Linked DNA regions of Caenorhabditis elegans. The protein of the gene in region 1 purifies or fractionates together with the protein of each later gene. This does not show direct contact. Each region holds a gene or a part of one and is shown on either strand. Other genes may lie near its edges.

Evidence for each region. The genes of interacting proteins can lie anywhere in the genome.
Region 2: the proteins of arl-6 (region 1) and T26C5.4 fractionate together in Caenorhabditis elegans (co-fractionation; one large-scale study listed by BioGRID). This does not show direct contact.

Annotation. Positions count from the first base shown.
Region 1 is NC_003281.10:4,811,519-4,817,501, reverse strand, and holds arl-6 (ADP-ribosylation factor-like protein 6), read left to right. Parts: upstream 1-2,671; 5' UTR 2,672-2,687; coding exon 2,688-2,907; intron 2,908-3,323; coding exon 3,324-3,469; intron 3,470-3,936; coding exon 3,937-4,012; intron 4,013-4,062; coding exon 4,063-4,193; 3' UTR 4,194-5,021; downstream 5,022-5,983. Other genes in the region: F26A1.7 (Membrane transporter protein), read left to right, coding at 422-1,063, 1,344-1,462.
Region 2 is NC_003280.10:9,247,931-9,253,234, forward strand, and holds T26C5.4 (uncharacterized protein), read right to left. Parts: upstream 2,593-5,304; 5' UTR 2,503-2,592; coding exon 2,436-2,502; intron 2,084-2,435; coding exon 1,914-2,083; intron 1,374-1,913; coding exon 1,203-1,373; 3' UTR 1,118-1,202; downstream 1-1,117. Other genes in the region: T26C5.3 (Acetyl-coenzyme A transporter 1), read left to right, coding at 1-89, 142-332, 391-516, 678-765; nlp-82 (Neuropeptide-Like Protein), read right to left, coding at 4,107-4,122, 4,891-5,096.

The DNA of each region.
Region 1 (5,983 bases):
CCCCCCCTCCGTTCGCTATTTAATTTTTACTAAAATGTCACGTTTGAATAATAAATAAATTTATTGAGGAATTCAACTTTTAAAATCAAAATGCAAAAATCAAAAGACGTGAAAAATTACTGAATAAAATTCTGTGAAACAGAAAAAACTGACACCGGGTAGTGCCAGACCTAAATACAGTAGTTGCTAATTTGCAATTTTACTACAGAATTGCTATCCTCTAAGCCTTCAAAGTGGCCTACGCCTGCTGGTAAGGCAGGCATGAGGCAGGCACGTAAGTCTGAAAAGTTACCTGACATGGAAGCTTAGGAAAATTTTTCTGTCGGTTTCTTGAATATAAAACTCCCAAAAAATAAAAAGGTTCCAACTTTATATTATCAAAAAATTGCTAGATCGTTCAAAAATAAATCTTTAATTTCAGGAATGACGTCAGCACTCGTCTGCGTGCTCTTTATGAAAGTGAAGTTCGAGCATCGTGCAGTTATAATTGGATGCCTTGGAGCAGTACCTGGATTTATTATTGGTGTTCATTATATTGATCCATTATTCAGTGGAGCTCAAAAGAAAATGCTCTTCGTTTCAATTTGGACAGCATTTGCATTTGCATTGGGAATTTTGAATGCTCAAAAGAAGAGATCAACATTCCGTGAAATTCCAGAATTCTGTGCATGGAAAGGATGGGTTCTGTTCTTTACTGGAATTATTGGAGGAATATTTGATGCATTTGCTGGATCAGGAATTGATATTTGCATCTTTTCAGTTATAACTCTCTTATTCCGTGTAACTGAAAAGACTGCAACTCCAACAACTGTTGTACTCAAGGGAGTTATTGCTGTTTTTGGATTCTACTACAGAGCTGTTATGATGGGAGATATTGATATTATGGCATGGAGATATTTTTCCGTTACTGTGCCAATTTCTGCATGTGGAGGTCCTATTGGATCATTCATTGGATCAAATTTACATCGTCAGTTGGTTGCTTCGTTTGTTTATATTTTAGAGACTTTTGCACTGGTTGGATTTTTACTCACTAATCCTGGTTTGGATTTGATAGTTGTCGGTGGTAAGTGTTTTCATAAAATATTAATCACTAAAAACTTGTGGGTTTTTCTGTTTGAAAAATATACAAAGAGGATTTTAAAAAATCAATGAAAACCTTTGTAAAAAATCTTAGATGTGTATCCTATATAGGCGGAAAGGATTAGCGTTTTTTTTTTCAAACTAGTTTTATAATCAAAAAAGGTCTAAACGTACTTGAATTAGTCTAAAATTTTAGTATGTTGTAAAAGAAATACGTTTTATACAGCAAAGAAAATACTATCGAAGAATCGGATCTATTACAGCTCTCATCATTATCGGAGGTTTCGTTTTCTTTTTCTTTGTGTCAAAGGCGGGAGCTTCACTTATGCAGACGGTAATTGAAAATGAGAAACAAAAACAACTGGAGAAAGCTCAAATCTGAATAATAGAATTTCATTTATGTAACGAATGTTTAGTATCTTCTCTGTCTTCTTTTTCTGCCCCTCATGACCACCTGCTTGTTTGCTTGTTTCCATGGTTACCTGCTTGAGATGCAAAGCGAAATATATCGACTTTTACCTCTTTATTCTTCTTTTTTATTTTGCTTTTGAATATTATGAAGCTTCGAAAATTATTTTAATTGATAATAAAATTGAATTTTACATTACAATTGTCTCTCCCTTTTATTTTCTATCATTATTTCCTTTTCTTCTCTGACCACGAGCAAGGTGACAGTTTTATTACCAGACGACGCAAAAATTGGAAATTTATGGATTTCGGTACCTTTTCCTTATTAATCCCTCTAACGCAGGATTAGTTGCCAAATCGACAGGCGGAAACTGTCAAAAAGGGAAGAGTATTGCGTAATTTAAGGAAGGAAGCAGGTCGCTATGGGAATTATTTTGAGTTAGGAAGGAAAGTTAGGATCAAGAAACTTGGACATATTTCGAGTCTTTAATTGTCAGCTAATACCGACTGTCTTTGGTTTTATTAAAATTTTGTCAACTAACAAAACTAACAAAATATTTGTCATGAAACAGTTTTTCTGTCTGCAGAATAACCTGAAAGCCAGCGTGTCAATGTGTAGTAGACGAGTGCAGGACATATTTACAAAATTATCCGACAATTTTTTAAAGTGCTTTTTTCTGCACGATATTCTAGATGTTACTGTTATTAATAAATTTTAAAAATGTAGAAAATTATTTTATTGATTTGAAAATTATGTTCATATTTGTTGATAAATTTGGAAACAACCTCAAGTACATACTGCAAGATAAAATTCAGTTAAAAAAAAGAGTAGTTTGTTAAACATAAAACTGGATAGTTCAAAAGTAATTATCAAAAAGGTTTTCAAAACTATTCTTATAAAACTATATTTTTTCTTCCACTGAACATCTTTTTCTTACACTTTAAGCTTCCAAGACTAAATTAACGTTTTTAATTTATCACCCAATTCTTATCAAATGATCCTAATTAAAAAAAAAACGGTTTAAAAATATATCCTAGTATGTCCCCCAACCATCTGTCAGATTATTGATACTTCATTTCTTTTTCAATCCTTTTTGAACTCTTGCCGAAAAGGTCATTATGACATTCTGTCACTTATTGACACCCAAAATCGATTAATCATCTAGAAAATACTTTGAAATTAAGATCTAAAAAGATCAATGGGCTTCTTTTCGTCATTGTCCAGTTTATTCGGATTGGGAAAAAAGGATGTGAACATCGTTGTAGTTGGACTGGATAACTCGGGAAAGACTACAATTTTGAATCAACTCAAAACTCCAGAGACAAGAAGTCAGCAGATTGTGCCAACTGTTGGACACGTGGTTACGAATTTCAGTACTCAAAATCTCAGTTTTCATGCATTCGATATGGCAGGACAAAGTATGTGAGACACGCTTGAATTTCAAATTTTATATTGAAATTGTAGAATCTTTCGGTCAGTAATTTATAAAACTTTTTCGGCGTAGGGCTCGAAACGGTCATTGCAATTTTATAGTTTCAAGTTCAAAAATTCCACTAATCGATTGATAAACTTGAACAACTAAAGTCGTTTTCCTGAACTGATGAAATATGTGTTAACAAAATGTAGATTTGGAAGTAGGCACGCGTGTAGGCATGCGGTAGGTATGATTATTTTTCGCGCCTTTGTAGAAACGTACAATATAATTTATCGGAGTTTTTGCCAGATTTGGCTGAAGTTGGAAATCTTTTCAGTATTTTTTTTTGTTTCGAAAGTTGTAACTACAAACTGGAAACATTTTCAAAACCACTCTTTGTTTTTTAATTATTAATTTCAGTGAAATATCGTAGTACATGGGAAAGCTACTTTCACTCTTCTCAGGGTGTCATTTTTGTACTCGATAGCTCTGATCGTCTTCGAATGGAGTTGCTCAAAGACGAGTTGATGATGGTGATGGAACACAAGGATGTGGTTTCCCGAGGGGTAAGTTTCTGTCTGTTTCATCATTGGAACAAGTTTATGACTACTGTCACTTTGGAAGGTTGAACAGAGGAAGACAATCATAAAACAGTCAAAGAAATAAAATTTGAGTTTCCTAAAAGCTAGCATTTTACGATTGTGCTCAGTTTCTAGCCTAGAATAAAATAAAATAGAATTGTTTCAGTGAATGGAGGTACTAAAATATTTTTATTAAAAAATCCCAAAAAACATCATAATTAAATCGACTGTTCAAAAATTTTAGAATTTCGAGATTAGAATTTCGACACAATCTAAATCAGATGTTTACTTTCTATCCTCTCCGTACATTTATTAAGTAGAATAGGTGTTCCTGCATACGTGTCTCCCTACTGCCTATGTTTTTTGTACAAAAGTTGCTAGGGTTTTTTGGCAGAAATTTGTATCTGAATAGGTACGTATAAAACATGCAGACGTTTATTTAAACTTTACAGATTCCAATAGTCATTCTTGCCAACAAAATGGACATCCCTGGAGCGATGACTGCTTCGGATATTACGGTAGCTCTAGGTACTCCCACTTTTTCCCTTCCCAACTCTTCGACATATTATGTTTTACAGGCCTAAACCTGTATCGTAGTGGTACCTGGTCGATACACTCAACGTGTGCACTCACTGGAGATGGATTGGACAAGGCTATGCAACAACTTTCAGCTGAAATCACAAAATATATGGAATCAAGGAGAACTTGAGAAATTAAACTGTTTTTTGTAAACAATGCATGTGATCTTGTAAATTCTTGTAGAAAACCTACCAAATTCGTATCAATTGGCAAAGCTGTGTATTTAAAAAATATAATTTAGATTTGGAAACACATATGTTAACTGAAAGAGTAGGACTAGATATGATTTTGTCTAAATACTCTTAAAATGTCCCAAAAATCCAAATATCTAAACATGTTTAAGATTTTTCAACTTTTCCAGTCAACTTTGGCAAATTGCCAATTTTTTTACCAATTTGGACTTTATGAAAAACTTCGGGCAATTTTGTAAATTTGAACAATCACAGCGTTTAAATACATATAATTTAAATATAATTAAAATACAAAACTATTAGAAATCATATTTTCCGGATTTCCAAAATTATGTGCTTTGAAAACTGAGGAATTGCCACTTTTTGTGGACTTTGGAGAAAAAAAAATGTTTTCAATTGTTAAAGATATTTTACCATCAAGATCTGATTTTTCTAACCCCAATTTTATAAATTAAAACAAAAAGAACTGAAAAAAAATCATAAATTTCTAGTCAAAAATTACTCAGTTTTCACTTATCATCATTTTGGACGTTGATCATAAGTTGTATTGTATTGTATTTATTACGATAGAGTTGTTCAACAAATTTGGTAATTTGCCAAAAAATTTGACAAAATAGTCCGAAAAGTTGTTTCAATTAGATACTTGGTTTTTTGTAATATGTTTTAGTTTTAGTATATTTGGTATGAAACTCCTTACAATTGGAGATGATGTTCTTTTTTCCAATGTTCCACATTTTCCTAATAATCCGTTTTATCTTTCCTTGAATACATAAACACATTCTCTTGAAGATCATACTAATTGTTTATATCACAATGTGCTCTTCGTCGGGCTCGCGTCAAAAGATGCGCGAAAAGAAATGCGACACCTCCTCCTCCAACTGGGTCGGCGTTAGGCTTTTTCTTTATTCCTTCCGCATCACGCTCGTAAATCGTGGTATCAAGCTGAGAAGGGCCGTCTTTCTCTGGCTTCGGTATCGGTATCTCATTGCGAAAAAAGCAAAGGATATAAGCACTTAAATTATACAAAAGATTATACATTGTTTGGTGTTTTGCCGCACAGTAATCCGCAGTAAGACAATCCAAGTGGTTGCGCCACCCGTCTGTGAGAAACCAACAAAAAAGTTTCACAAAAGTTTGGAATACCTGGGTTAAATTACATTTTAAAAAGTTTCAGGAAAAAGTACATTCTGCATTTTAGATTTTTTATTTCGTTCATGTTTTGGTAAATTACCAAATATTCCAACAACGTTTTTTTTAGTAATTTAGAGAAATTTAGAATTGAAATATGAATATAAAGTTATTTTTTTGATTCGTTTAAAATTATAGAAAGATGCTTAACAATTTTAGAATATAATCCTCCAAATAATCGGGGAAAATTCTTCAATTGATAACTTTCATACTGTATACTTTCAGAATGCAACATGTTATCTTCAGGCCATTTAAATATTTTTCTATATTTTGAAACTAAATTTTAATTAAAAATATAGGCACAACATTCTGAAATAGGCTATTTTGTAGAAGTGATGCACACACAAACTTTGGCAGATTGTATCTCAGCTGCTATTAGTCTTAATATCAAAAAATGGCAACAAGAAAAATATGTTTTATGTATTTTTCTCTACGACATTGCTGTTGAAAATTTGTTGATATCTTTCAAATGCAGAGAGATATGAGCTTCCCAAAAGAGCAACTACGGCAAAAAATAAAAACTGTATTGTAAAAAATTTTC
Region 2 (5,304 bases), on another chromosome or scaffold:
TTTGGTGGACTCCACATTTTAGTCTTCCCGATGGAAAGTTTGAATACTCGGTTTATATTGTTTGGATTACCGGATACATTTTCCATCAGGTAGGAAAAATCAAAATATTTTAGTAATTGTAAAATTATAAAATTTTTACAGCTTGCCACATACTCGATGTTCGTCTCAATGATGGCATTCATTGCTCAAATTTCTGATCCTCGAATTGGTGGAACTTACATGACCATGTTGAACACTCTTAACAATTTGGGAGGAAATTGGCCGGTTACTGTAGTTTTAGCAGTGACAGATTGGTTTACCTACAAAGATTGTGTTGTCAAGGGAACGAAAGAGTGAGTTGAAAAAATCTCGACTGCTTTAGGATAATTTAAACTTCCAATTTTTTTTCAGAATTTTGTACGCTTGTAATACGAAAGTGTTAGCTGATCAATGCTCGTCTGGTGGTGATGTATGTGAAGTGGCAGTTGATGGATATTTCATTTCGGTTGCAATTTGTTCCGTTATAGGAGTTATTTGGTAAGTAAACAGAGAATCTTACACCCCTCATGAATGTGATAATTTGGAATGAAATACGTGATTAAAACGTTACTTCCTTTCCTTTCGATTCGTTTGACCTGACCTTCAACCGACACATTCACACCCAAAAAAAGAATTGTGAAGAAATAAATTTCTTTCAGGTACAAAGTGTTCTACAACAAGATCAAGTACCTGCAGAAGATTCCACGAAGCCAATGGAGAGTCTTCCCATCAAGATCTGCCGAATAAAAGATCCCTATGAAACGAAAATTCTTACTTAAAAATAATTTAATCCTTTATTTTTTTGCATGCACAACAAACAAATAGTAGAATAATAATAATGTTTCCGGGCGTTTTTTTAGCGTTTAATGTATTTTTATCTCCTGTCATTTTTTTGTATAACTATGATTCTCAGTTTTAGTGAATCGCATGGCTTGGTCTGACTCCTCTCTCTCTCCTCCACAGCTTTCCCCTGGTCCTCACAGTTTTTCTTTTGGCATTCATAATTTTTAAAAGATCCTGTGTTCTCTCTTCCTCTCCCCTCTTTCTCTGTGATAATAATTATGCCAAGGTTTGTGATGATTGAAATGACTTCAATTTGATTGAATTCTTATTATTTATTCTTCTTTCTGTCCTTTTCTTTCTATATATAGTACATAATAAATGGTTATATAATGTTAGAAATATTAAACCACTGATAGCGGGGTATCTCCAGAGTTTGGATAATCGTCAATGTCCATTTCATTCGGGGTGTCATCGTGTTGGGCATCAACTCGTGGGCATGTAGCACGGAGCTCCAAAGGATACTGTTCAGGTGTGGGGCAAAGTGTTTCAAATTTGACGGTTCCTTCCTCGTCCTGAAAATAGTTAGTTCAAGGTTTTTTGAACTCTTGATAATATCTCTTATTATTAAAAGTTTTGCAAAAAGTCACGAGTGATCAAATACGGGTGGTCTCACGACTCAGAAAACAAGTAAAATATTTAGAAGATAATGAGATTCAGATCAGGTGTGCGCGGCAAACGATTTTTCCGGCAAATCGGCAATTTGGTAAATTGCCAGAATTGAACATTTCCAGCAAACGCCGAAAAATTTCGGCAAATTGTGGTTTTGCCCTTGTTTTGGAAATATCAGAATTTCAATTTTAATCCTACATCTATTTTGAAAAGTAAGCAAATTCTATGAAAATATCTAACGAAAACGGGAAAAAAATTTCGAGTGTTTTCGTGTTATAAAAAACCCTCTAAACATTTCCGGAAAATCGGCAATTTTTCAAAAATTAAAATTTCCAGCAAATCGGCTAACCGGCAAGTTGCCGGAATTAAAAAATTCCGACAAACCGGCAATTCATCTCTCTAAGATTCGCGTGAGCAAATATAAAATTTAAAAGGATCCTTACCAATTCATCCAAAGTCCACAATCCGATATTTCTGTGACAGACGTATGGTGTGACAATTGATCCAGTTTGTTGTGTGTTATTATTGCACAATCCAGCCATCACCAATTGATCTTTCAAGTGTACTCGAACGATTTTTCGAGAATTTTGCTCAATGCACTCGGTTCGGCATACTGAAAAGAAATCTTTCGAAATTTAATGGGGAACATATGTTTATTGTAGTTTGGAATACCAACTAAGTTGCATGGTAATTTATTTCCAATAGACTATGAAATACAAGCGATGGTAGGCTAATGCACCTGGAATCGTATGTGCCTGCCTACCAGAGTTTTATTCAATAACTTTGCATAATATGAAACAACTCAGGCTAATTTAACTTCAAGTATTTTCATAATAAACTTAACTGTATAAACATCTAAGTATCCATTAATCAAATACACAAGGTAAAATAGTATTCAGATTGACGGTAACTTCATTCTCAATTCATGTTTCAATCTAATGTCCAATAAGAATTAAAAAACTTACATCCAACACTTCCTGAATCCACAATTAAAACAAATGTTGAAAATACAAAGAAAATAGTTGACCACATAATTTTAAACTTCTTCAAAAAGAGACTGGAACAGTTCGCGGTGAAGCGAAGTGGGTGGATCTTTTTGAGAAGACACTTTACGTCTTTTTTCGTTTCTTTTTTTCTCAAATTTCTTTCAAAAAGTTTGTTTGTCAACTGCTGGGCGGTCTCAACCGACGTCTTCTCTAGTTTTTTTTTCTGTTCTGTTCATGGCGATGTTGATTCAATTGAAATAGATATTCGGATCGAATAAATAAAGGATGATCTTCAGAATAAATAATTTCTTGTTATTTTCAAATTGTTGCCTTCTTGTTGATTTCAAGTGCCCATTTTTGACTTGTTTGTCAAGTCTCAAGGCATCAAATTCCACTCGTCTGGAAGACGTCATCTGGAAAAAGATGTCAGATTTGATAAAAACTGGATTTTTTTTCGAAAAGTTGAAATATCTCGAACAACATTTGATTCTAGTAAACCAATTTTTAATTTAAAACATCACCAAAAACAGTTGTAAATTTGATATTGTTTGTGATTTCATCAGGTCTTGGTTTTACATTAGAAAACTTCTTGTTACTTTGGTGCTTACGGCTATATAGTTCTAGTCTTAACTTGCTCTGTTTTTCAATCCGAAATTTTTCCAGAATTAAATAGTTTTTGACTGACTATGAAATTTGAGTTGAAGGTCGATATTTCAAAAAAAAAAGTCTCAGATTTCTGTAGCACTATGGTAGACTTCTGTAGATATGTGGAACTTGCCACAGAAAACTGTGCAATGTGTGCGAGAAGATGACAAAGAGTTATGACATGGTGCATCAAAAAGTTATGAATTGCGTCAAAAGAAAAAAGCCTAACGGAAAATGGCGGGCAGTAGAATCTGAAATGATAAGGGCTTGTGTGGTGTGGTGACAAGCCGAGTAAGCTCGAATTCAATCCCAAATGACTTGTGCCGGCAATTTCTATAGTACAAGTTGTGTGGCGACATTTTTGTTTGAGATACATTTGCTGCGATCTCTGTACATCAAATGGACAATACACGACTGAAATTGACTCGCAGTGTCTTAAACCACATTCCCCACACCGAAATCCAACATTGTTTATAATTTCGTTATTAATTTTTATTCTAAAATCGATGATTCAACGATTCAATATTTTACCACAATAACAGGTTAACATCAAATCAGAGATGTGAATTTTGTGATAGGAAACAAATCATATTGAATGACGTAGAAACGTGATTCAGGTCTTCATTCAAGTTTAAGACAAATTCAATGACTTGTAGTGGTCAATCAGTTGATCATATGACCATCATCAAGTATGTCAGTTCATTTTCGTTGTGAAAGTGAAATTTCGAGAGTGATTGAATGAAAAACCATCGAATTAACGACGAAAGCATTTATTTATTTTTCTTTATCGATCAAAAATCAATACTTATTCTGTACCTCTGGAAACAAATAGTTATGGAATTGAGATAATGAAGAATATTTGGAATATTATCAGATGACGTTTGATTGGAGAACATGTCATGACAGAAACATTGAGAGACAGGAGAAAAGTAGGATAAAAGACGTGGAGATCCCAAGAAATGAGAGATGCTGGATCACATGGAAGGGGGACACGGTGCTCGAGTTTTAGCCGGACATCATTCTGAAAGTTTTGAAAAATTGGTTTATATTTAAATGTTTAATTGAACTTGATAATCTTATCTTTGAATCCAAATAGGTACGCAATTCTTACTTTAAGTCCAAATTGCCATACCCAAAAATTAAGCCAAATTGGGAAACAGGCACACAAAACGCCAGCTAACTGAAATTTTTATTTACATTCTAGTTGAAGACTATTTTAGATCAACCAAGTTATTTCTTTTTGAATTTTTAAGTTGAATTTAAGTTCAAATCCGAAGTTTCCAAAATTACCCAGTGTTCCAAAAAACACAAAAATGTGGCCGAAACGGGAAATTACTATTTTTGTAAAAAAACAACTAGGCAACGTACAGCTAAAGCAAACGTTCCAGCCTTCTTCAAACACCTGAATAAACTTTAAAAAACAGGCGGGAGGCTTGGAGCTGGCACATACACCAAAGTCTTTCAGCATCCCATTCCATCAGATGTAGTTTAAACTTTACACTCAAATTTGGAAGTTCAAAAGTTTCAAGTACCTATAGTTTTAAGTACTGTACTTTCCTTGCCCTTTCTCAAAATTTTCAAGTGTCTACGTGTTCTCTCCACTGAACTTGATTCTATACGTCACGAACATGCGCAGATTATTTTATATTTTAATTCAAAAACGTGTTACACAAAGTTAATGTGATTATTTTTGGCACCAATGTTGTTAGGTATAGCGCTATTTGCGTCATGCAAAACTCAATCAATTTGCAAAAAAACGAGTAGCCACTATCTACATCACCACACATACCTATATCGTGCCATTAAATTCGGCATTGGCCTGTAGCTGAGACCAGATCGTATATGTCGATCGAATTGTGAACCTCCTCCTAGAAGCTCATCACTTCCATGCCCACTTCGCTCGAAACGCTCCAATGGAAGATCTTGCAGAATGAATGACGTTGTGGAGATAATTGAGATGAGCAGGATGATGATTACAGTGTGGTATGACGGCATCTGTAAAATTTATAGTTGGAAAATGTTTCTGGATTTTCATTCGAGAAGGAAAATATTTTTTTAAAAAAGTTCTAATGGGGACATATGAACAATTTTATAGGGATATTGTCTTTCATGTTCCGTGGGAAACTTTTTTCAAAAAGAGCAAACTAAAATTAAACCTGACGTCATTAAATGGAATATTTTGATCGCAACTGTGATAACATGT